Drosophila melanogaster: one gene and its partners. The protein of the gene in region 3 interacts with the protein of the main gene of each other region in a pairwise test. Each region holds a gene or a part of one and is shown on either strand. Other genes may lie near its edges.

Region 1 (8,462 bases), on a different chromosome or scaffold from region 3:
GGCGACCGGGAACTGGACTTGAGCAAGGCGTACCTGCGTCCTGGCAATTTGCCCGCTCGCGCTGGTTCGCTGCAAGCGGCTCTGAATATTGAAGTTCAGGATCTGGAGATTGACCATGTGGATGTGCGAATAGAGGGCTTGAACGGCAAGCTGCCCAATCTGGATATGTTCAATCTGGTGCAGAGAATTATGGCCCGCGAGGGCATCGCCTCTGGCTATAAACAAGCGCCACGCAAGAAGCGTCGTCACAGCCAGTCGCACTTCGAGCAGAACTTCCGCCAGATGCTGACCATGCTGGCCAGCCAGTCGTCGGGCGTACCCACTGGCAATCATGGGCTGTTCCACCGTTATCGGATCGATGCTTTGACCATAGCTGCCAATCGAAGGGCCACCCATGCCACACTGAAGGGCAGCCCAGGATCGGCAGCGGTGCCTTTGCTGAAGGCCATCGAGGGAATAGCCAGGAGTCTGAACAACCTTCTGGAGCGCTTCCATCAAAGCTTTTTCTTCTATGTGATCGTAAGCAACGATCGCTACATCTCCATTGGGGATTATATGCCCGCTTTGGTGGCTCTGGTAGCTTGTGCCTTCCTTAAGGCCTATCTAACGTGGTCCACGCTCCCGGCGACCAACGCTGAGCTGGAAAAGGCCGCTGGCTGGCTTAGGGAGCACGAACAGGAGGCGGAACTGGAGGAGAACCTAGAGCCGGATAAGTTCGAGCTGCCGTATGGTTCGGTATTGATTTACCTTACTGCCACCCTGTTGATTGGTTTCCTGTGCAACGTGCTGCCCCTGCAGCAATATTTCCTAGAGATTCCTATGGGCGCCGCACCACTGACCACCTCAGTACTGAGTTTTCTTTCTCTGATCGGTTTCGTTCTGCCCTTTGTGGTGGTTTTGCCGCCCGGAGGATTGGAGCTGCTGCATGTGGCCTTTCTGCTAATCTATGGCTGCGCTTTAATAGTCATCGGGCTCCTCAACTTTGCCCTGGGCTTATTTGCGGCCGTGCTGACTGTACCGCTGGTCATCGCGCTGGAGACCAAGGAGGAGAACTCGCGCAGCACGCTGAGGAACACGATCCGCTTGGCCACGCTGGTCATGAATCCCATGATGGTCGTTTATGTGATCGTGCTGGCCATGACATTCTACCAGTTCCCGGAGCTGCCGGTGCAGAAGATCATGCTGAGGGCGGCCACCGCGGCCATGGATGCCTCGGCTTATGGACTTATCGATTCCGTGGTAAGTTAAGATTTCAGTTGCCACTACTAACATACATAGATAATAAACTAAAATACTTTCCTATTGCAGATTTATGGCAACTGGCTGTACTTTGTCATCTGCACGATTTTCCTGCCGCTGTGGATCATCTGCTGGACCTTGTCGCTGTCCAAGCGACGCGACTACGCAGATTACCTGGACTTCGATGAGTCGCCATCAACGTCGCCGCAGCCGCAGTCAAAGGTGAAAACGAATTGAGGAGACGAACAGCACGGATTGCCATTCACTGGCTACATATATCAACTGGAAATGATCCTAAGATGAAGTGTGATAAACCCAACAAAACTGTGTGTGATGGCGGTAAGAGATTGCACATGCAGAGAAAATTCCATTTAAATGTTATGCATTTGATTAAATGTCTAAATAAAAGAAGCCTATTTATTAGTTGGAATAACTAAGTGTAAATGTAATCCAAAAAATATTAAATATACCACGGCATTTTCGATGTTGATTCCCAGTTAACTTATCATTTTAAATTACTTAAGTGGTTAACTTTATCAGTAGCTTCTTGTGATTTATGGATTTTCCATTATATTTGCAACTTTGTTTGCACGTAAAGCAGTAATGCATATATTTCCCATCCGTTGGTTATTATTTCTTTTGTCAATCCTCCGTCTTCGCTGGCGTTATTGGCCAGTGGAGGACAGGAGTTTCTCCGTGGAGTAGTGCTCAGTGGAGCACGTGCCTCTTTGAATAAGTGGAAAACTTTTCGACTATGACACGCAACTTAATTTAAACTTTGCACCGCTGCCAGCGCCATCGTCGTCGCTGCTGGCAATTAGTTATGAGCCAGGATTTGGCTCAATCAGAGGCATGGATGCATGGTGTCCTCGAAGCTGGGAGCCCTGCACTTGCCGCACCGTGTTTACCGGCGCCATTCAATCTGCAACTTAACAAGAAAACTTTCCTCACACAACCATTCAAAGGCAGACACAAAGTTGCGGCGGCACAGTGGTACTTTCACTCGAAATGTAGAAATGAGAAATTTTCGAATATCTTTTTATTAAATGGATAGATAGATTGTAAGATGAGTTCGGTCAAATCACTGAGCTGTATCACTGTATAAATCAGTTAACAAATATATATACTTTTTCAAGTAGTAGTTAATTAATCCTCGCAGTTCTAGTCTAATCGCAGCTTTTCAATATTTCTATGGGCCATCGTTAAAACAGCAGAGCACACAAGTGATTTTAGAGTTGTGTATCTTTATTCAAATACTATTCAAGGCTGGCCTGCGCTAGATGGCCATCTCCTGCACCTGATCCTCTTGGCTTAAAGAACCCATCGCCCTTCGCAACCATTGGCAAATCGAATTGGACGAGATAGGTAGCATCTCGTCCTGAGAGTCAGCCATATCGGTTTGGGTGCCCTTGCCGGTGCCCTTGCCTGGATTCCGATCCAGATACAGACCCTCTTTGGACTCCAGCTCCGTCTGTCGCTCCGCGTGGCGTTCCAAAGAGCGTTGACATCGGCTCCAGAGATCCTGGACATCCTGGCTCTCGCAGTCCGACTGAATGGCCTCTATCAGATATCTCATGGATCGCCCACTGTACTCCATCTCCAGGCTGCGGATCATTTCCGCATCGCTCTGCAACTGACACTGGATCGCCACCTGGCGTTCGAGTGCCTTGGCATCGAATAGCATTTGATCCAACAGTGCATCCGTCTCGGCGATCTCGATCCGAAGCAGATCGGCCATGTCCATGGCCGAACTAAGTTCCCCAGGTTTTGGGCAACGCGGCGAGGGTGGCGGTGGTGGTGGCGTCACCGGGATACGGGCCGTCTTACACTGGACGACACGTGGGGTCCTCAGATGCGTATCGGTCTTGCGCATTTTGAAAGCCTTGGGCGCAGGTCGTGGTGCTAGGCTACTGGGCCTACGCTTCGGGAAAGACCTTGCCGAGCTGGTCGCTGTGGTGGTGGGGTGTGCGGTATCACTCCTAGTCGTGAGCAACTCTGGCACTGCCTTCTCCAGAGATGCCTCCAGAGATGTATAGCCATTCACGCTGTTCAAATGGAGGCGACGGGCCTGGTGCACCAAATTGACGATAGCGCGATCCAAAGCCAAACTCCGGGCACTCACGGACTCCGCCGCGTCATTCAGATGTTCTGTGCTCATTCCAAAGCAGGTTTAGTGGAAAATTTTGATAATATTAATATATATATATGGCTATACTGTGAAGATGTAGTGTATATAAGATTTGGTACTACCGACCGAACCGTAGAGCAAACGTGTTGTGTGTGTCCCTGTCAAATTAGGTGAAATGAAGTGTTGCCAGTTGGAGACGGGCCTACTGGTTTCGGAAAACTCCAACTCCAAGATTACAAGTTTACAAAGGTTTTTTTCTCTGAGTGTATGAATGTGTCGCAAAGTATGCAGTTCGAAGAATATTTATATATGGTTAGAAATCTTTATACACAGCCCACTGTTGGCCAAAACGTTCGCATTATCCTTCGACTGAAGGATAAAGGGATGCGGAGAGTTCGTGATTGCGGGGGGGCGGGGGTGTTTTAAAATTGGCAAGTTGATGTCACATAATTGCCCCTCGAGCGCTCATCTTAATTATTGTGCTCGCTGACTTCCTGTTGCCCGACTTAATTCCCCGTTAAAGCCAACAACACACTCCCTGCGGTCGGGTTCGCCCCCCCACCCCCCACCATCCCACTCCAACGACCACTCTTTTGCCGGTTCCCTCTGCCGCCCATGGACTTACTGAGTGCGTCGCTGCTGCGTGTGGAAATAATTAAAATTGTTCGAAGAACGAGAGGTGTTGCACTTTGCATGTCGGCGAAAGGGGGATTGATGTGCAACATATATGTACATATGTATGAGTATGTGCATTATCGTGTCGGTTGGACAGAACAGCCATGCATTCATCGCGGATGTAAGGATAATGGAACCTACTTGAACGGCCCTTTAAAAAATTTATTGCTTTAACTATTAATCGTTTCATAAATTGAACCTTGAATGAGATCTGTAAATAAAATCCATTGCCAAACTGAGTTTATCCATTTGTAGAGCGACTTCAATTTTAGTTTCGCTGTTTTTTGCGGATTTTTTTTCAACGCTTCCGTGCTGCTTCTGTTTTAATGAAAAGTGAAAAGTGGGAAAACAAGTCCGGAATAGAGGAATACCAATCGAGAGCTTTCAATTTGCTCGACCATTGTTCTGCCTTTGTTTGCTTTTGGATTCGGATTCGGTTTCTTGTTTTTTTTTTTTTTTTTACCCGGGCTTTACTTTCGAAAAGAATTGAAACTTTGACAGTTATTTGTGTGCTTTGTCCGCCCCCTCGAAACAATGCACAAGCGGCGTCAATCCGCCCGACCTATATAGTCCTCCCCCCCCCCCCCCTAAACCACCACAACGAGGAGTCACGTGGCACTCCATTTTTTTGGAATGCCAACGATGAGTACGAAAAACTGGGCAGGTGAAATGGAAAACAAACGCATAGAAAGACAGGTACGAGAAAAAAGCATCCAAAAGACTATAGACATACACTGAGATCTTAGACGGAAAATGGAAAAAAATTATTTTGCAAAAATTAAACAACTTTAGATGAGCATTGTTATCATAACTTGACTAAAAGTGATCAGAAAGCAAAAAGAATAACTGTTTTGAGCAGCTAATAACGAAGGCTAACCATCCCTATCACTTTTTGACCGATTTAGGAAAATTAATTTTTGGACCAATTTTCGCATTTTCGGTAAGGGGTAACATCATCAAAATTTACAAAAAATGGCTAAAAAATGGAATTCCCATTTTTGGACACAGTTCGATTGGGAATTTAAATACGAACTCAACGTGATATGACATTCCGTATTCAGACAATTATTTTTAAAGTTGTGGCCAAAAAACTGACTATTTTATGACGGAAAATCGAAAAAAATGATTTTGGCAAAAATTAAACAACTTTAGATGAGCGTTTTCATCATAACTTGACTAAAAATGATCATAAAACCAAAGAAATAACTGTTTTGAGCAGCTAATAACGAAGGCTAACCATCTGTATCACTTTTGGACCAATTTAGAAAAAATAATTTTTGAGTCATTTTTCGCATTTTCGGAAGGGGTAACATCATCAAAATTTACAAAAAATGGCTAAAAAATAGAATTCCCATTTTTGGACACAGTTCGATTGGGAATTTAAATACAAACTTAACGAGGTATAACAATCCATATTTGAATGATTCTGTCAATTGTTACGAGAATAATTGTGTTATTTTCTAGGCGTAAAATTGGAAAATGATTTTTGGTACAAAATGGGATTATTTGCTTTCATTGGCATTGTAAAACAAAATTCGTAGAGCAACTATTTTGATTGAAACAAATGATCTCTAGATTTTTGCGAGTGCAAACCGAAAGAAGTGAACAAATAACGAAATAATATTGCATGCGAATAAAAATGCCGTCAAAACTGCCAATTTCTCTCAATTTGTAAAGTTTGTCGAATTCGGTATTTGTTTTTCTACTTTCCAACCCACTGATATGTTTTGTGTGTGCAGATTTCCGTGGCGCTCCAAAGTTTTCAACTACCAGTAGTTGGGGGATTGGGGATTTTTTATTCCAGTATTCCAGGCTGTCTTGAAAATTTAATTTCGCCCCGCTTCTACTTAGACTTTTACAATACTTTGATGCTGCTCTTAATCAAAGTTTGCCCAGCGACAATAAAACTTGCGATTTTATTTACAAACAATCAGAGCCTACGATGGGTCCTTCGAAAAGGGGGAAAACAAAGCCTTGTCCCACAAAGAGAGCGAGAAAATTGGGGAAAGTGGAGAAAGCTGAGCAAGTCGGCGGCCGTTGGATGAATGACAAACGAAATGAGACTCGAGTAGGCAAACTAGAAATGAATGGAGTGCATGAGGGAATTTGCCAAATTGAGCGAAAAGGGCCAGATACTTCAAATGGGATTTACAGTGCATACTGCGTAAGTATGCCATCATTCAGTTAAATGTTCATAGTCCTGCAGAATTTGCGTTTCGTTTGCATAGGCTACTTTTATACTATGTCGTGTTATCTACAGAACTAGCAAACCAAAAAGTTGATCGACTGGGTTGCTTCAAAAGGATTATGACTGTACTTCTATGTGTGTGTTTGTGCGGCCTGCATTGGGTGGCATGAAGATAGTAGATAGAGCAACAGCTACCCGCATGACGTTTTTTATTTGCGGGCAGCACACACACACACACACACACACCGCCATTAGCGAAGTGAAAGAGAGGGTGAGACAGGAAGCGAAAGAGAGGGATGTACAGCACGGATGAGTGTCTTTTCTTAGTCCCTAAATTCAGCCGGCATTCAATTCCTTTGCCTTTGTCCCCATGTCGAGCAGTTGTTTAGCACATTAAGCCACTAAAACAACTGGCTGGCGCAGAACGGTAGACGGTTGGGCGGGGCCCAGAAAGAGAGAGAGGGCTAGTGTTGGCGGTGAGGTGCCATAACATATCCCTCTTCTCTGCTCCAAGTTGTCAGCTGTTTTACGGCCAAGTTATGACGTGCCTCCGTCACTGGCTTAAGTACGTACAAAAAGAAAACTGAAACATGATAGAAGTGAAATGAAAAACAAGCAACAAAAAACTAAATGTTGCAAAAAGCCGACCCAAATACCCTTACCAAAAGAATGCTAATGCAAGTGCAGGGAAGTCGCGCGAATTCTTAAGCAATCAAATATTGTAATGACTCCTAAAAAAGGAAGTAATTCAATGGATTTTGGCAGGTATTCCGGATATATACATATATACATTTTACTTAGCTATAGTCAAATACTTTTTGTGAGCGTATGAAAGCTAAAGACAAGAAAATAATAAAAAACAAAAAAAATGAAAAAAAAAGACGAACATGTTGGCCTGGCCAAAAGGTAGGAAAAGCCGGGAAAGGGAAAACTTTTATGCGCTGCTGTCGCTGGCGAACACAACTTTTGCCTTTTATGTCCTTGTCGTCTGCTATCAGTGTATGTATGTGTATATATGTGTGTGTGTGTGTTGGTGTATATATCCGTATACGGACTGGTGCATGTGTGGAAGTTCTTATGGCGTTTTGTGTGACATTTATTGTCATTTAACTGTGACAAAGTTAGCGGATAAGCATACACGGCGCTATGAGGCATTTGCACAATGCCATCTTTTCGCCTGGATTGATAGGCGTATATCTCAGTAGGCGTGGCTGGCGGCAAACGAAAACTTCAAAGCACAACACACACCCTGCTAAATTATTGAGAACGTTTTGAGAAATCAAGAAATAAACCCAATATCGAAATCTCATCGAAGTGCAGGTAAAATGTTAGTTAGATTCTTCGACAACTCATCGACAACTATTTCCACTGCCTGTTCAGAATGGTAATCGGTCAGGATAGTGAGGAAAAGGTGCTGCCAGGGGAAAATGCAGCCACTGGTGGAATGGAAATGAACGGTTTTAAGGGAAACCGCTTGGAAACGGCCAAGATATATGCACGCGGAAAGGGTCGACTGCGCATGTTTTTTCGGCTCGGAAATCAGCCGCGTTGCGAATTCATCAACGGAGTGCCTCCCAGTGATTTGAATAAAATCCAGAAACATTGGTAACCATTTGGTATTTGTGTAATAATTAATTTTATCCATAGTAACAAAAGGCTGCAGCTATATGCTATGCTAAATAATAGATTTGCCAATAAGAAGAATTGAAATATTTTTAATATCATGTACATATATTCTATGATAATAGATTTGCCAATAAGAAGAACTGAATGAATAATTGAATATTATAGTTAAATTGAAACTTTCGTGTTTCATTTTGCCATGCGAAGGAAGGAGATGCTGATGCGTTAAGTTCGGCAATCCTGATTCAGCGGATATTTGCTCATTTTTCCAAAAGGACACCTTTCGACCCGACAAGTGTAACAGCTCCTTCGCCTTGTTTATTTGCTTTATTGATGAGTCATCAGCCAAGGATGCGCGAACGAAGGATACGCACTTGATATGCTGCCCGGTTTATTGCCGGATTTTACGATCCGATTGGGAAACGTTTTCGATTTACGCCAAAATGGGCAAGTGACGGGGCGAGCATGTGTTGAATGAAGGGACATAAAAGGGAGTTGGGGAAATTGATTGATAATTGATAACGCAACACACGATACGACCCCAAAGGAGTTCATCATATATGCTTGAGTTTGCCACACAGCAGCTAGTATTAACTTTGAAATATGTTA
Region 2 (7,780 bases), on a different chromosome or scaffold from region 3:
TATAAATTGGAAAAATATTTTTAAATGGCAAGTCAACATAATTTTGAGTGCTAGTTTAGTGCCAGCTGTACTTCGTGACTAGTTGTCTTACTATTGTTTCCATCACGTTTAAATCACGGCGGAAGATCATCTAAGATCACATTATGGTTAATATAATGTTAATTGAGGCCTCGAGCCAATCAAAAAGGTCATCGAAGTCCAACGGTCCTCGGAATTCAGGCACTTCTAAGCGAGCAAGTGGCCTACACACATTCATATATACATATATTTCCTTGAAGTTTGTCCAACTTTTCGTTTCAATTGAAGTAGCGACGTGGGTTTTTTTTTTGTTTTTTGTCGTCTTGCTCCGTAATAGTTGACTACTATTGGCAACTATGCGCACCACCCATTTCAGTGCGTGATTGGTATCCAGCTGGAAAAAAGCAAAAATATTTCTGCAAGCGGCTAATTTTGGGCTGACGTGAGCGGTTTCGTTTTTGGGTCAATGCATTAATCAGTAATCAGTCTCCTTGTTAATTACACACGGCTATCTCACACCCAGTTTCTTTTTTTGTGTGCCTGCTTTGCAGACAATGATGGAATAGTCGGCAACCAAACTCGGCATCGTCGCTCGACCTCCGGCGCAGCCAGTTGCATGCAAGATGCACGCTTCTACCGCAACCCCAACAGGCCGGTCCACAAGATCTGGACGAACAGCGAGTGCGCCAAGTATTTCCTCTGCCTCGACGGTGAGGTGTTCGAATTCAAGTGCTCCGAGGGATTGCTCTTCGATGTGGTGCGTCAGATCTGCGACTTCAAGGCGAATGTGGACAATTGCGATGTCAGCGCGGAGACGCCGGCTCCAAAACCACTACTGGAGATGGCCGACTGTGCGGATGAATACCAGTTGGGCTGCGCCGATGGTACCTGCCTGCCGCAGGAGTACTTCTGCGATGGTTCGGTAGACTGTCCCGACGGCTCCGACGAAGGCTGGTGCGATGTGGAGCACGATCCGAATGCGGCTGGTGCCTGTGATCCGCGAAAGTGCCATTTGCCGCAGTGCTTCTGCTCGAAGGATGGCACCCAGATACCCGGCAGTCTTCCGGCACAGAGTGTTCCGCAGATGATACTGTTGACCTTCGACGATGCCATCAATCACGATAACTGGGAGCTGTTCTCCAAGGTTTTGTTCACACAGCACAGGCGAAACCCCAACGGGTGTCCCATTAAGGGCACATTCTACGTTTCACATCCGTTTACCAACTATCAGTATGTGCAGAAGCTTTGGAACGATGGTCACGAGATCGCAGTGCACTCAGTAACGTAAGTTGTTGATCAGCCTGTAAATTATTTAAAATTGAAATTTCACTTTTATTGATTAAAGGCATCGTGGCCCAGAGATGTGGTGGTCCAAGAATGCCACAATTGAGGATTGGTTCGATGAGATGGTTGGCCAGGCGAATATAATCAATAAGTTCGCAGCGGTACGAATGGAGGAGATTCGTGGCATGAGAGTACCCTTTCTGCGCGTCGGCTGGAATCGACAGTTTCTCATGATGAAGGAGTTTGGCTTCGTGTACGATTCATCCATGGTTGCGCCGCATTCGAATCCTCCTCTGTGGCCCTACACCTTGGACTACAAGATGCCGCACAGCTGCACGGGCGTAAATCAGAATTGCCCGTCTAGGAGTTATCCGGGCATTTGGGAGCTGGTTATGAACCAACTGGAAGTGGGCGAGTATATGTGCGGCATGGTGGACACGTGTCCGCCGCATTTGAGCGGCGAGGATGTGTACAGAATGCTCACGCACAACTTCAAGAGGCACTACCTCAGCAATAGGGCACCATTTGGCCTGTATTTCCATTCGACTTGGTTCAAGAAAGTCGACTATCTGAATGCATTTCTGGTGAATATTCGAATTGTTACCCATAATACTAGATCTTCATTCCTTCCTGATCATTTAGAAATTCCTCGACGATCTGCAAAAGCTGCCGGATGTGTTCTTCGTGACTAACCAGCAGGCGATTCAGTGGATGCGCCATCCCACGCCCAGCAACCAGCTGCACCAATTCGAGTCCTGGCACTGCCAACCGAAGGACTTGGATCCCCACGAGCAGGTCTGCAACACGCCGAATGTGTGCAAGGTGCGTAGTCGGGTGCTGCAAGAGGATCGATTCTTCTACACTTGCATGGAGTGTCCTGCCCAGTATCCCTGGATTCGCAACGAGTTCGGCTTGGACTAAGGTGATAGCCCGCTTGACACTATAGGGCTCTGCGCAAGGCGCTTTGATATATCCATAATGTTTGGAGCGTTCCATAAGTAATTGGATAAGATTGATACAATTTTAGGTTTTAATTGTTTAGAAAAATTAATATTTATAAATTGGATTACGCATATTTAGATGATTCAGCTTTCAAAATCTGACCGTAAGCAAACCCGTAGATAACTTCGTAACATACCTGAAGAGGATAAAGTGCATTAATTTAAAATCGGAACACTCTGAATTTTATGGAGAAGCTTAAACAATTTCGCGGGCTCATAAACGTGGTACTTTGCGGCCTGATTAGATTTTAAGAACTAATTTATACGTATGTATGTCTCCGCTAAATATATTTAAACCGATTTCCAAAAGAGCTTTGTACTTAGTCTACATTCTGGAACGCATCCCAGCCACAAAACCTTGGACTATTGCGTTATAAACGGATTGGCGATGCTCTCGACTCCGTCTTGCGGACAAATGAGGACGAGGGCTGTGCCGCGACAGACGACCAGTCCCAGGCTGCGGGTCTGCTCCTCGGTCAGTTTGTAGGGCTCATCCGAGTCGCGCAGATACTCCACCGTGTTGTCCAGCACCAGATTGAGCAGCGCATCGTAGCCCTTGAGGATTCCGGATGCCTCGCGGCCGCCCGCGAATTTCACGCGGATCTGTTTCTCCAAGTACTTGGAGAGGTCCAGAATGGACTCCTTGCGGCGCTTCTCCTTACCGTCATTGTTGCCACCCACCTGACAAGTCACGATTTTGATGATTAAGCACCACAATGTAGTTATTCTATTTAATTTACCTTTTTATCTGCCATTATTCTGTTTTTGGTAAATGCCGGCTGGTAAAGAGTGACCAAAGCATATTTTTTTAGAAATACACCAAATAAGGCGCTACTAGCCAGCAGATGGCGCTGGTGAAGTAATCTTATGGGCCGCGCTTTTTGAGGTACATAATCGATAATAATGGAATAAACATATGTAAGAATTAATGTTATTTGAAAAATATGACAACAAAGTTCTCTTATTTCTACTGTCATCATTGTGAAATTATTTTCTTACCTTTTGCTATTGAGGCGAACATATCAATTTATTTGTATAATAATTATTATATTGGTTTAAGATATCGATAAGATTCATTTATTTGTATCGATATGCTGGTCACTCTGACTGGCTCTCCATTTTGTTTTCCACGACAGAGCAATTTTTAGTACAACAGATTGTTATCTTCTACCAATTACCGGATCGATTTTGTACATTTAAGTGTTTTAAAGCCACCTTAGGATCATGGGACGCAAGAAGAAGAAGGCCTCCAAACCCTGGTGCTGGTATCCTTTTCGCAAAACAAAGATATAAATATTTTTTCACTGCATGTGCCGCTCGCTGTATCTGCACATACACACACATTTATATAATGGTATTGGGTTGGGGGTAGATACACACACACATGTATATGCATACTGGCTACAACGCCGCATCCCCGTGAATTTTCCTTAACTCTTAACGCAAAAAACTAGGTACTGCAACCGTGAGTTCGATGACGAAAAGATCCTTGTGCAGCACCAGAAGGCCAAGCACTTCAAATGCCACATCTGCCACAAGAAGTTGTACACCGGACCCGGACTATCCATACACTGCATGCAGGTGCACAAGGAAACGGTGGACAAGGTCCCCAACTCGCTGCCCAATCGCTCAAATATTGAAGTCGAAATCTTTGGCATGGACGGCATTCCCGCCGAGGATCTCAGGGATCACGAACGTCAGAAGAATGGTGGCAAGTCTGATTCGGACGATGATGAACCGGTGGCCAAAAAGAAAGTAGAATGTAAGTGATCAGCAAACTGTATTGTATACAAAATCGCTATACAACATTCATTGCAGATGCCATGAGTGTACCGCCGCCTATGATGATGCCCCCGAACATGATGCCACCGCACATGCTGGGGCAGTACGGCATGGGCATGATGCAGCACATGCCGCCACTGCCTCCGTATCCAGTGCCCATGATGCCGCACATGATGCCTCCGCGTCCTTTGTTTCCAGCCGCCATGGCCACAACATCGGCGGCAGCTGCTGCGGCGGCGGCCCATCATCACCACGCCGCCGCCATGGCTCAACAAAAGCCAACATTTCCAGCGTACAGGTTAGCATCGTTAGGGGAAGACCATATAAGAATCCTTCCAATTTTTTTTTCTAAAGCTAGCAGTTAGACGTAGAGCCCTGTTAATAATCTTTTTTTTTTAAACGATTCGTATGTAAATTCAGTTTTGGGGGTATTTTAGGTGAAATACTTTCTACTCCAAATAATTGTTCACATTGGCACATTTTTAATGGTTTTCCCCTATTAAACATAGTTGTGAAGCAAGTCAAATGACTTATTATTAGGCTTAATCCTAAGAATTTGTTTTTAACTAACGTAAATCAATTATTTCTTCTTTTTGCTAAAGTAATGCTACCATAAGTGCTCCGCCTACCACCAATCATGCTGGTGGCGCATCCAGCGCACCACCAAGTGGTCCGCCAGATGCTCAGCAACACCAGCAGCGACCTCCAGCTCCACCGGCGGCAAGCGGAACTTCCGCTGCTGCTGTGACCACAAAGATTATGCATCCACAGGAGGACCTGAGTCTGGAAGAATTGCGCGCGCGCCAACCGAAAATACAAGCACGGTTGGCGGCCGCTTTGGCTTCACTGGCGAATCCACAAAGTCGCAAGAGTCCCAGCAACAATGGTGGCCCCTCTACGTCGATTCCCACCACTCCGCCGCCCCCGTCGCTGGCCGGGATCTCGCCCACGGGTAGCAATAGCAGCAGTGGCATGGCTAACTCGATTGTCGTCTCCGCAGCCATGTCGAAGGCCCAGGAAGTGAGTTCTTATCATAGTTATAGAAACCATAGTCAATATAAATAAACAGACCGTGACGGAAACGACTTCCACTGATTAACAGGAAATGACAAGCACAACGGACTGAAACGAGGACGTGTAAAAAAGACAATTTCCTCCAAAAAAAGAAAAATAATGAAAGAATAAATGTAATTGCACATAAAAAAACCTGACCCAATTTCGACTGCATTTTAAGAGAATGCATTCAGCATTCTAACAGAATTCCATTTTTCCAAACTGGACACTTTTATACATTTACTCTGCGCAGATCGCAAATTGCGACAGCGGAAGTTACGTTTAGACGACCACAGCGTACGAGAGCAAACAGATTACGAGAATCACACAATACGAAACAACATTAAAAAGAAAAGAAAACTTTTTTTAGCATATAGTATGATATATGTCTGTACAATTTTTAATTAAAAAAAATTAATGGCAACAAAACAAATGAAACGGCGGTTTTCAATTTAATTAATTTGATTTAAAACATTTTACCTCAACACATAGAGAACTCGATAGAAGGGAAAAGCAAGGTTTCGCATTGTCTTGGCCCTAAAAGTAATCTCCATCAATGTGATATGCCAACACATGTGCTAGTTTTGTATCTTAAAGGTAAAGCGGAAGCAGCTGAAATGCAATTCACATGCCCACTGATAAATAGTGAAATTCTTTATAGCGGGTGGGCTGATTTAATTGGATCATAGGGGCAGGTTTGAAGCCAGCTTGCTTAGTATGTTTTAGAAATCTATGTAGTCGGTTCCATACACGCTTAGGAAGCGTTTTTTACATCAAGCGCAGGCTAAAAACTCATTTTTAAATAGGGAATCTTAAATTAGATGATTACTTTAATTCTTGATATGATCTAGTAATTTTTGTTCGTCAATTTTTGTTACTTCAGCAGCTTACAATCTGCAATTCTATTTTTTCATTTGGGGTTCAGCCCCGTTTTTTTGAAACCCTTAAGCAAATTTTTTTGTTACCACGATAGGTACATAGAGACCTGACTCAGTCAGGATACATTTTTTTTGGGTTGACCCCGAAACTACACCCTCCCAGTGGCAAGTGAGATAAATTCAATCGATTCCAAACATTTTCTTACAGAACGCCGCTCTAGTTGCCGTGGCACAGGCGCAGGCACACGCACACGCACATGCTGCCCAGGTGCAGGCCCAAGCGCAAGCCCAGGCCGTGGTCCAAGCTCAGGTGCAAGCCGCGCATGTGGCACACGCTGTGGCAGCACAGCAGCAGGCAGTACAGCAGCAACAGGCGGCTCAGCAGCAACAGCAAGCCGCTGTGCAACAGCAGGCGGCGGTGCAGCAGCAGCAACAACAACAACAGGCGGCGGTGCAGCAGCAGCAGGCGGCGCAGCAGCAGGTCAAACAACTGGAGGAACTGAATCGGGCTGTGATGCTCCAGCGCTTTCAGGCTGCCCGACAGCCTGGGAATCCCGGTGCGGCAGCAGCGGCTGCGGCGGCCGCAGCCGTCGGCATGGTAAGTCTCTAATCATGCGGTGCTGCGTATGCCACGCGAGCAATCAAACCAAAGAATGAACTTGCCTTAACAATACCGAAATTCCGAAATTGCTGAGAATCTCAATCTGTAAAAGACCACAATACAAATACCGATCTTGTGTCCTAGAATGGTATCATAAAGCCAACGACAGCATTTTCGAGTGGGTTAACCCAATAAATAAAGCTTCGCCCTCATCATCATGGTTGGTCACCTATTAGCTAATGTTTACGCGATTAGTTGGGGGTTCTAAATTTACAATGATCCTATAGCGAGATAATCTATGGTTAACCGAAACGCACACTCATAAGACTAATCTGAAAATTTATGTTAAAACCGTCAACGGATACATTAAAAAAATGTGTGTATTTGTAAAAAAATATAACTTTTTTTTTTTAATTTTATAAAGGATTTAGTTTGTTAAAAAATTAAAATATTTAGGAGCTGATAGGAAAAAGAAATTTGCACTTCTTTAAAACAAATTAACGTTTTCATCAGTGTAAAAACAATCACTTGGCTAACTACAACCGCTTACCAACACTACCGCTTAAAGTTCCCTTTTCTTTTCGAACCCATTACTTTTGCCCAGCTTAGAAACAAGGAAGATCAACAGTCTCAACTACGTCTTTACGCCATATGTATAAATCTAAAAACCCTATTAAGCTTGTAAACTGGAAAAATATGTTAAAGTTACCGTTACAATTGCAGTACAGAGCAGAAGTTCAGTGTTGATAAACGATAAGTGTTGCAAAAGTGTTGCGCAGGGTCCAAAAAGAGTTACAGTATGTATGGTTTTTGTACAAGCAAGTTTATCTCTTCCCCCAAAACCCAACCTAATCACTCCCTCAATAAAACTCACACCCCGCAAAATGATATGTGATATACAAAGTGCGCAATGCAACCAGATAAGTAAAAGCCAAAAACTCCATTATAATCTTACTTAGTCGTACTTATGCAAGTAATTATGTAGTCTAAGCAAGTACCTACTCTACTCTATCTCTCAATATCACATCCATGCGTATATAATCCACAAAGATCAAACCCCCCGACCCCAAATGAGTTTCTAGTACGTACTGCCTTGCAAGTAAAACAGAAAAACAATTAACATTTACAAATATGATAGTGAATGAGAGAACAGTCGTGAGTTA
Region 3 (9,378 bases):
AAAAAAAAATCCACAAATTTGTGTTTTTATTTGCGTTATCACGTACAGTTTTTCGTTGGCACTTTTAATTCCAGAGCTAATCGGCAAGATCCCCATACCCCGTACCCCCCGTAGAGAATCATAACCCCCTCCACATTCCAGACGATTCGAACAACATGTGCTCCGAAAAATTCCACTACGAGGTTCTCACATGTTTTTGTTTTTGAGCACGATATCTAAGCGAGCAACCAGAAAGACAGAAAGAACCACAATAAAATTGAAAACTAAAAAGCGCTTTGCTAGGAGATCGAAACAAAGGAAAATGCGCATATAGTACATATGCATATAAATATACATACATACATATTACATATATAAATGCAGCTGCATTTGTGCTGCGATTTCACAAACACCCAGATATTGCGACATAAATGCATGCAAAGTAAAATAAAACGATAAGCAACTTTACAGAGCCGAAGGGCATACATGTAATAGAACCATTTCCAACTCCGTTTCGATGTGAAAAACTATCCTGATTGTTCCTATGTTAGTTCTGAGTAGATGCAACCGCAATCGGATCGGCGAATCCATTAACAACTATGCAATAAGTGCGAATTGTCATTGTGCGTTGAGGAAATTTATATAGATACGCAACAACATGTAAGCATTTTATAGATTCTTACACAGCAGTCAGCATGATAACGATAAATGTTTAAAAGTTTTACCACATCACCACTACACAAAATAGATACATACATGTTTAAGAAGTTTATATACATAAATTGATATGAGACGACCGATAAGATCGTAGCCAGAGAGCTCAGCTAGCAGCAAAGTCAAGTTAAAACTCAAACAAAACAAACAATTGCCTAACGATCAAACAATCAATGTGTAAATCCCCTCCCAAAAAACACCCCATCCAGTCGATGAATCCCCACATCCCATTCCCATTCCCATTCCCACCTAACCCATCCAACTTCCCCAAATCCCCTAAAACGTGAACAGAGAGATACAAATATTTTCAATGGAAACCCCGAACGAGATCCAGATGACGTCCAACTACTCCGGCCGAAAAATCCACATGCCATATAGTAAATTGGATTTTTTCAGCCCAGATCCTATTTTTACTAGCTTAAAGTTTTTAGTTCTTGGATCAGAAATAAGCTTATAATCCATTAAATACGCTCCTTTTTAACTTTTTCAAACTGAAAATTGCTTACAAAGCCAAAATATTTATGAGTTAACTTTTTCGATTCGAAAAAATTGAGTCAAGGCAACTTCTCGAGTTTCGAGTGTCAACAGCGATAGGAAGGGAATTTCCATTTGGTTAGATGTTTAAAAACCCATTTACATATGATAATGATTTCCTATGAGTTCTTTGTTGAAACAGATGTTTAAAAAATGGAGCTTGGCTGATTGCAAAATTGAACAAAGTTGAAGTGAATATGGGTATGGATGGCTTATTGGATATTTCGATTTAGGAGGTAAAAGTCCGCGACTTCGATGGAACCCCCGAAAAGTGGCGATCCCAGAAGGAGGACGGTGGAGAGAGAGAGCTGTTGGATCAGTTTAGTTCACAGGTAAGTTGGCAAAACGCGAATGTGACTCACTGGCGGTACAAACTAGTATTATCTAGGTGGATTTCTCTAGAGGTTGCTCGAAGAAAAAACAGACGCCGTGCGAGTGGTGAACGTGCTTCGAATCACCTTATCTCGCACCTACCGCGCTCCACACAGAGAAACAAATATGCTGCAACTTTACACGTTTTAAATGCAGTTTTCTAAACAAAAATATATGTGTGAAATTTGTATACCCATTTAGATCAATTTTAACGTGCTTTGATAAGTCTCGAAAACGATTTGAGTTTCGGATGAAATGAATCATCACCCCAATTGTTACTCTGCATTTGATGTTTCTGTTTTTTACCTCGCCGCTTTGGGATTTCTTTATAAACGATGTCGCAAAAGAAAACTGGATTCACAGGCAACACACTATGTGGGCAATGGGCTTCGGTTTTGAATTCGGTGTCGTTGTTTACCGCTTCGCTACCCCTGAAGTAAATACGTTCATACATATGCATGTATATATGTACTTACCATTATGTTTGTACTTTATATGTACCATATCCGATCGAGTCGAATGAATACAAGACAATAACTGTACGGGTTGTCCATATTTGAGCATCGAAAGCGTTTTTCCCTCGACGAATTCATTTAATGCTGAGACCCGTAGTCTTTAATTTTTGTGTAATGCTCTCAACGATTTTCAGGCCACCCCCGAGAAATACATATACATGAACATATGTATGTATAACTGAGGACGGTGTTTACGTAGTGACGAAAAGCACGCAGAGTATATATATAGTAGTATATGAGTATATATACTCAGTATATATATGTATACTGGAATAAAAATGTAAAATATTTAGATGAAACTTTAATATTTATGGGTATCCGGTAGGTGCTCGTGCATTGTTGTTTTCAAACTCCACTAGATATGTATCTACATATGTGTGCTACCCATATTTGTTGCCCTGGATGCCTGTATGTCTGCACACAAACTTAAGGCAAATCAAAAGCGTAAACAATTTTGTTTTTATTTTGCTTTTGGTTGCTTCTCTTTTATTTTAATGGCGCTTTGCTTAAGCTAATTGCAATCTATAAATGGCGACGGCGATAGTGGATTTCAGCGAGGTTGTCGGTGAAGGGGTATATACTTCGCCCCTCCCCCCACACGACCGTTTGAATTCGCGATTGCAAACATAAAAACAAAAGCCCAGAGCTAAAGAAAAAACAGATATATGTATAAATCATGGGGAAACGTGACTAAATGGAATCGTTCATACCCCTTGATTGGCATTTAGACATCACTTCGATGTACATTGTTTATAACCTATAAATTTCTGAATGTAAAATAAATTGTTATGCTTATTAGCAAAGCGTTCTAAATATATAAGATAACGCTTTCGTCCAATATACCCTAACTGCGGGGTATCCAAAGCGAGATGTGGCTAAACAAAAAGTTGCGTGCACTGGTCTCGGACTGGGCCCGTAGATGTATCTGTATCTACGCAATTGGTATCTGTAAGATACACACACATCCGAATGTTCACGTTGTGCCGCCACACGCGCTGTGTGCCGAGCGGGATGGAGATACTGGTGGAGCGAGATGGGAGGCGTTCGTATTTACAAGTTTTGTGCGTTGGTCTCTGACGACCCCTTGGCCACCCATCTCCTACGTCCCCCTGGTCACAGTCCCCATTCCTCACTCCCCTGTATTTTTGTACAACCATATGTATGTATGTACGTATGCGTGCAAAGTACGCAAATGGCGAAGAAAAATATTAAAAAAATATAAATATAAAAATAAGTTAAACACACAAGAGAAAAATATTCACTTCAAGTGAATTCTGGTAGTGTATTTTAATGTATTTATGGGCTATAAAGATTTGATCTTTTCGAGTTTCATTTATTGCTGTTATTGATGTTTCGCTGGAACACTATGTTTTTTTTCTTATCAAAACTTTTTAAGAAAATTACCAGCTAGGAAACTCCACTTGAACTCTTGGTTCTTTCGTGCTCATAAAAATATCAACAGTTTTTTATGTGTATAAATTGTGAATATATTATGGGCAATCTCATGTGAGTGTGTGTCAACGGTTATTTTATTTTTTTTCCTTTCGGTTTTTGTTATTTTCAGGCAGTGGAATAATTTTATTCTGCTGCGCAATTTCTACTATTGATTCCCATTCGTATTCCCACATTTTATGCTTTTCTTTGGCCTGCCCCTATCGCCATGGCTTCGCTTCCATGAACTGCCCTGCTTTGATACCATTTTCTAAATTAAGGCATACTTTCGCACAAACAAACATTCGACTGTGTACATATACATATGTACATATATGTGGGGTACTTGCGGACCCTGATAGCATTCGCACCTTATCGCTATAGTGGCTCTGTGTACATTATAATTATTATTGCACGCGTAAACATCATATATAGCGATAAGAGCGGTTGTTGTTACCTCAGACGGATGATAAGCGTAGTGTAGTCAAGCAGATGTTAACCCTTAGAGAGTCGGAAATTCGGTTGAGTTCGTAACGGAAATGACTCTGTGAAATGGGTTCCCAAAAAAGGTGGATGATTCACGGACTCCAAATACCCATGCGGGCTATTAACCAGTCCATCTTTTATGTCACATGTATTAAGATTATATTTATATAGCACACATTTTTTCTTAAATTGTTTAAATTTTTATACCAAATGGGAACTATATCCATATCAGGCAATTAATATTAACTGCTTTTTGGATCACCCTCAATAATGCATACAATCTGCATACTCATTGTTTTATTACAATACAACTACCACTAATTAATATTAATAGACCACATATGATATGGCATTCGTTTAGTCAGTTTAAGATAATTCTGAATTCTGTATACCCTCGGCAGGTTCAAAGAACTTACTAGTTTCCATAGAGGTCATATTGGATACGAAGCTTTCAGCAAATTGAAATACTTGCTATTCCAAGCGCCTTGAAATGGTTTTAGGTTGGCAATCGCTCACCTCACTGTATTGACTTTTCATCTCGGCGAACACGTGACTTGCGCTTTGTCTGGCAATATGTATTCCCATAGCTAGAAAACTCATTGAATGTGAATGAATCTGTTATCGGTCAAGTGGGAACGATGTGTGATAACCCCGTGGTTTGATAAGCGTCGATGTCGAGCTTGGATTGCATGAAGTGGTCTGATCGTGAGATTTCAGCTTGGAATCAGTCAAACATTTCCCAGTTCACCGACAAGATGTGGTCCTCTAAGACTATTTTGGTTTTCCTAGCAGCATTTACTTTGGTCCAGGCATGTTTCCGATTGTGCAAGCCTGCTGGATGTTTCTTAACAAAATTTCTAATCCTTATAGGGTAGCATGCGGTTTCACTTCACCTTGGACTTTCACGTACAGCAGCCGCCGAATGCATCCGACACCATCGACAAGACCATTATTGTGGAGAACGATCGGATATCTATGGTGGACAACGAAGGAGCGACTACTAAGGCTCCGATGACCCAGTGGACAGATCAGGATCAGTATAATCAGGACGCATTGCTGAAGGTGACCGATACGCGCAGATCGGTGCAACAGCTGAATACGGAGCTCTCACCCCTGGTTGGCAGGAGCACCGATTTGGCCAGAAGGATTAAGCAGAGTATGCGATACGTCAACGAGGTGGATGCTAATCTGGACGATTTGAGCAACTTTGGGCAGCTGGTGGAGCTGCTCAAGAAATTCGTAATCCTAGTCGATAACCTAAGGGATCCAAACAATCTCGGAGGCATTCGAAGCCTGGAGTACGTACTCCTGAAGTTGGCTCTAGAGAAGTACGACCTTCTGAACAAGCGACAGGAGATCGGTGAATACTTGGAAAGGGCGGAGAGTGCCTGGCGAAGATACCAAAACACACAGGTGGTTGTTCTGGATAACTCCACCTGAGTCGGGCTCAGATGCCTAGGACCACCACATTAGGAACTTAGTTTTAGGATAAAACAGAACAAAGACCAGCATCATGGGTCGACACAATCGCTGCACCATGATCTACTAGAGCGGCTCGGCTCTTGAAAGGAATAAAAGACATCGAAGGGACTTCCTGTCTATTATTCGATTTCACTGCAATGCCCAGAATTGCTACAGGTATGCGAGGGGAGGTATTCCAGGGGTAGAATACCCTAAATTCCCTTCGGTGCCCGGTTTCGTTAAGGCTGGAAAGTACGTTACACACGCTGGGAATGCCTTTGTACACTGCAAAAAATTTAAGTTAGACCTAGAAGAGTAAGCAATCATGATAAATAAGTATTTTACCCTAAACAAAAATTCTGCTTGATTTTTATTTGTTTTATTTTTCCCTAAAAAACTGCACCTGCAATCATTTTCGTGAAGTATTGATTTATTGATATTGATGTAGATTTCCTATCAGTAGAATCTACATTTCTTGCATAGCAATTCATTTAATCTAATCAAAATAACAGTAATAAAATACTTAAAAAAGAAAATACGATAAAGTTTTCAGTGCATTTCCATTCAGCAGATGCAGGTAGTCGGAATCGAGGAACTAAGGGACCTTTTAATAGGGTAGAACAGCTGCCAGAGCCGTTGCTAATAGATGAAGTGGAGGGTAGGGTCCCGAACGCGGGCAGAAATTTCCGAAACCCGAAACAACCACTAACAAAAACCATATGCAGTTAAGTGGGAAATGGAATGGGGCGATCCCGAGGAGAACGGCATCATCAGGACGTTACGAGTACCATTTGTCGGGTGAATTGTGGGGGCGGGTATTCGGGGTAACGATATCGTCGTACCCCCCATAGATGGTACTCAGGGAATTCCCAGCAGTGTGGAACGCTTGAAAGCCGACACCGCATCCAAATCTCTGTGTTACCCCTATGGGTTCCTTAACGGTTTTCAGCGATTTCTTTTTAGGGGTGTCGTCTGGAGTGTCGACTTATAAATACGCTCGTACAATCCATAAATGTGCCTTTGTGTTGAACAAAAACCATGAAGAAATCGGTATACATAATGAAAACTCGATTGGCATAAGAGGTACAAGCTGTATGAATACAGGTTTCAACTCTTTTTTGTATCAACATCAGCCGAAACTGGTCAAACGGCTTTGGAACATGGGCCATCCGATGGCTTATGTATCGTTTTGACAGTTTATGTTTATACTAAAATTTCGCTGCAGGCGATAAATATGTATTGAGACAGCATCCGGCCCAAGAAAGTAGTGGCTAGGGGGATGAATAACAGAACATGGGATTTATGTAAAAATATCAATTACACATGTGGACAATTTGCTTGCATACATAGTTAATATACATATGAGCATATATATTCATATGAAATTCCATACAAATCCATGTTGTATGAAATTGATATTGAAACCCACGTATAAAAATATATTGCCGTCGTTAGATAATTTATGGTTTAAAACAAAATAAAATGCATATTTTTTATACATTATTTAATGTTGTTTTTAATGTTTTTTTCATTGTCTTAAATAACTCTACAACTATTGTATTATTATCAAAAATTACAAAAGTAAGCGTATAATATATACATTGCGCAAAACACAGAAGTTACTATGAGAAAACTATTTGACGCATTATTAAGAACTAAAAAAAATAATTGAATCATTGGTTGCATTAAAGTTTAACCCCTGGTTTGTGAATATTATTGTTTGTATATTAAATTACAAATTACAGTTCATTATTTAAATTTCGCGCCCTAAAGATTAGACGATTTACGATAACGATTAAATGTATTCTTATTGCTTATGTTAACTTGCTGTTAAACGAATTTTGCCCTTCTTGTAAATGCATTTGTAAATGATTTGACTTCTGTAGTGAATATTCAATTCGGCTTGAAGTTTCGTAGGATTTTCAGGACCTCGATCTGAAAGTCAAGCTTGCGATCGGCGCACATCTGCTGCATGTGAGGCTTAATGGTGTCGAAGAAGGCCTGATCAGGATCGGCGGACAAGTAGGCGGTATTTGTACTGCAGGGTGGATCTGATGGTAACTGTGGAATATATGCGATTTCCGGAGTGGCGGTGTCCTCCTTGGCGCAGCCCAGATCTCCCAGAACCGTATTTATGTTGCTTGGTATGGCTGGATTGCGGATGGCAGGCTCAATATTCGATTCTTGGTCGGAGTTTCTCTTTCGTGGAGTCTTTGCAGATCTCTGTGCGGCAGTGCTCACTCGCTTCCGTTTGGCCTGGGGCTTGGGTTGCTCCTTCAAGGATTCTACATCGTCCTCCGACTCTGCTTTCACGTTCAGCAGGAAACTCAGTTCCTTTTCGTAGATGTAGGAAGCTCTGGCCACCTCCTCGCCACTTTGACGTAGTCGGTTGACCCGTAGGTAGCTGTCCCTCGTGTTTTTCCAACGTTTGAGCAGTGTTTTAACTGGAATTGGAAGTTATGTATGATATAGACTCAAAAAGGTAGCCACCACCTACCTATTTCCTGCTTCTCCGGCTCGCTGGAGTCGTCAAAATTCGAGCAAAGCTCGTGGCCAATTTGCTGCCAGGCCTCATCTCTGAGTTCGCGGTTATGGAAGTTTGGGTGGCTTCGTTCCCATATAATAGAACGTTTGTGTACCGCGTCAATGAACTCGTACATCGAATAGCGCAAATTGCTTCCTGCCGATCGAAGAACTTTATGATTGCCCATTATTTATTGTTTATTTAAGGGTTGGATTGGATTGACAATATGTTGCTTGCGTTTAACAGCACCACGGGCAGCTGCTTAACAGCACTCCCCGCAGAGTTGCCACCTCGCCCCGCATTTAAACTAAAAACGTTCTGATGTTATGAAAATACAAATTTCAATTTTGTGTTTTATTATTAAACATATACAGATAGGTCAGTGGATTATTGTTGCTGTTGTTCTTGCTTCGAAGCGTGCGAAATGCGAAGGTATGACCGAGTAATACGTGTACGTGTTAAATTAGGAGAGAAATGCAAGTGAGTTTTGATGATTAGGGTGTAGTGTTCTCTGGATTTCTGAATGATTCTATTTACATGGGCCTGCCCATTCCGCGGCCCATTCCCATGCCACCGCCGGCCATCGGGGGTTCTCCGGCCTTGGGACTCTTTATTGTCTCATCGACGGAAAGGATCATGCAGGCTGCCTCGGCGGCCGCCGTCAGTGCATTGATCTTAATGATGGACGGCTCCCAGACGCACTGCTCATAGTTGTCCGAAATGTCTTCCTTGTTGATGTCGACGCCGTACCACTGTCCTCCTGTAAAAAGGTAAATGTATAAAATTATAATAATTATTAATTAGAGTTCAAAATTACACGACCGATTTGAATTCGCCAACGATTTTTGCAGGTAACATTTCGTTCAGGTGGCAACGCCGCTTACAGCCCGCGCAATAAACGAATTGAGAAGGTGCGAAAGAGCACAACATACAGCACATGTGACTCGAGTGAGAGAGGACGAGTGACAGTGAGGTCGAAGAAAAACACGCGTTGCTGCGGCTAAAATTTCCTCTGTATTTACATTATTTGGAAGAGAAAACGCAGCCAAACGAAATGTCCAGCTCCGGAAGAAAGCGCAAGCAGCAACTTAAGCCGCGTCAGGACGATCACCGGTCGCCGGTGAAGCGACGCAGTGTGGACATCAAGTCGGAACCCTTGGACGGCTATCCGGCGCTAGCAGACTACGATTTAAGTACGGCCGATATCAAGCCGGATCTCACTGAACTCCAATTGCAGCTGGTGGCGGAGCAGCAGGCGGCCAGCAACACCATTCGCTTGGAATTGGAACAGCAAGAGAGTGATTCCGACGAGGATGGCTACTCAGAGCTCGATTACCAAGCTGAAGATGTCTTCTGTCAGGG

What was found. The genes of interacting proteins can lie anywhere in the genome.
Region 1: the proteins of CG9837 (region 3) and CG15764 interact in a two-hybrid assay, tested with the Drosophila melanogaster proteins (one large-scale study listed by BioGRID).
Region 2: the proteins of CG9837 (region 3) and LSm7 interact in a two-hybrid assay, tested with the Drosophila melanogaster proteins (one large-scale study listed by BioGRID).

Annotation. Positions count from the first base shown.
Region 1 is NC_004354.4:5,864,117-5,872,578, reverse strand, and holds CG15764 (uncharacterized protein), read right to left. Parts: upstream 3,485-8,462; 5' UTR 3,398-3,484; coding exon 2,516-3,397; 3' UTR 2,313-2,515; downstream 1-2,312. Other genes in the region: GAA1 (glycosylphosphatidylinositol anchor attachment 1), read left to right, coding at 1-1,239, 1,309-1,476; CG43137 (uncharacterized protein), read left to right, coding at 7,612-7,839.
Region 2 is NT_033779.5:16,740,003-16,747,782, forward strand, and holds LSm7 (uncharacterized protein), read right to left. Parts: upstream 3,099-7,780; 5' UTR 3,059-3,098; coding exon 3,044-3,058; intron 2,985-3,043; coding exon 2,667-2,984; 3' UTR 2,624-2,666; exon of another isoform or gene 2,441-2,623; 3' UTR 2,313-2,440; downstream 1-2,312. Other genes in the region: ChLD3 (chitin and LDLR binding deacetylase 3), read left to right, coding at 570-1,302, 1,364-1,886, 1,945-2,223; BuGZ (Bub3 interacting GLEBS and zinc finger domain protein), read left to right, coding at 3,528-3,562, 3,758-4,065, 4,122-4,383, 4,688-5,105, 6,225-6,614.
Region 3 is NT_033777.3:8,805,191-8,814,568, reverse strand, and holds CG9837 (uncharacterized protein), read left to right. Parts: upstream 1-4,757; 5' UTR 4,758-4,786; coding exon 4,787-4,840; intron 4,841-4,901; coding exon 4,902-5,471; 3' UTR 5,472-6,890; downstream 6,891-9,378. Other genes in the region: hng2 (hinge2), read right to left, coding at 7,386-7,936, 7,990-8,203; CG9839 (uncharacterized protein), read left to right, coding at 9,071-9,377; CCT7 (chaperonin containing TCP1 subunit 7), read right to left, coding at 8,550-8,776.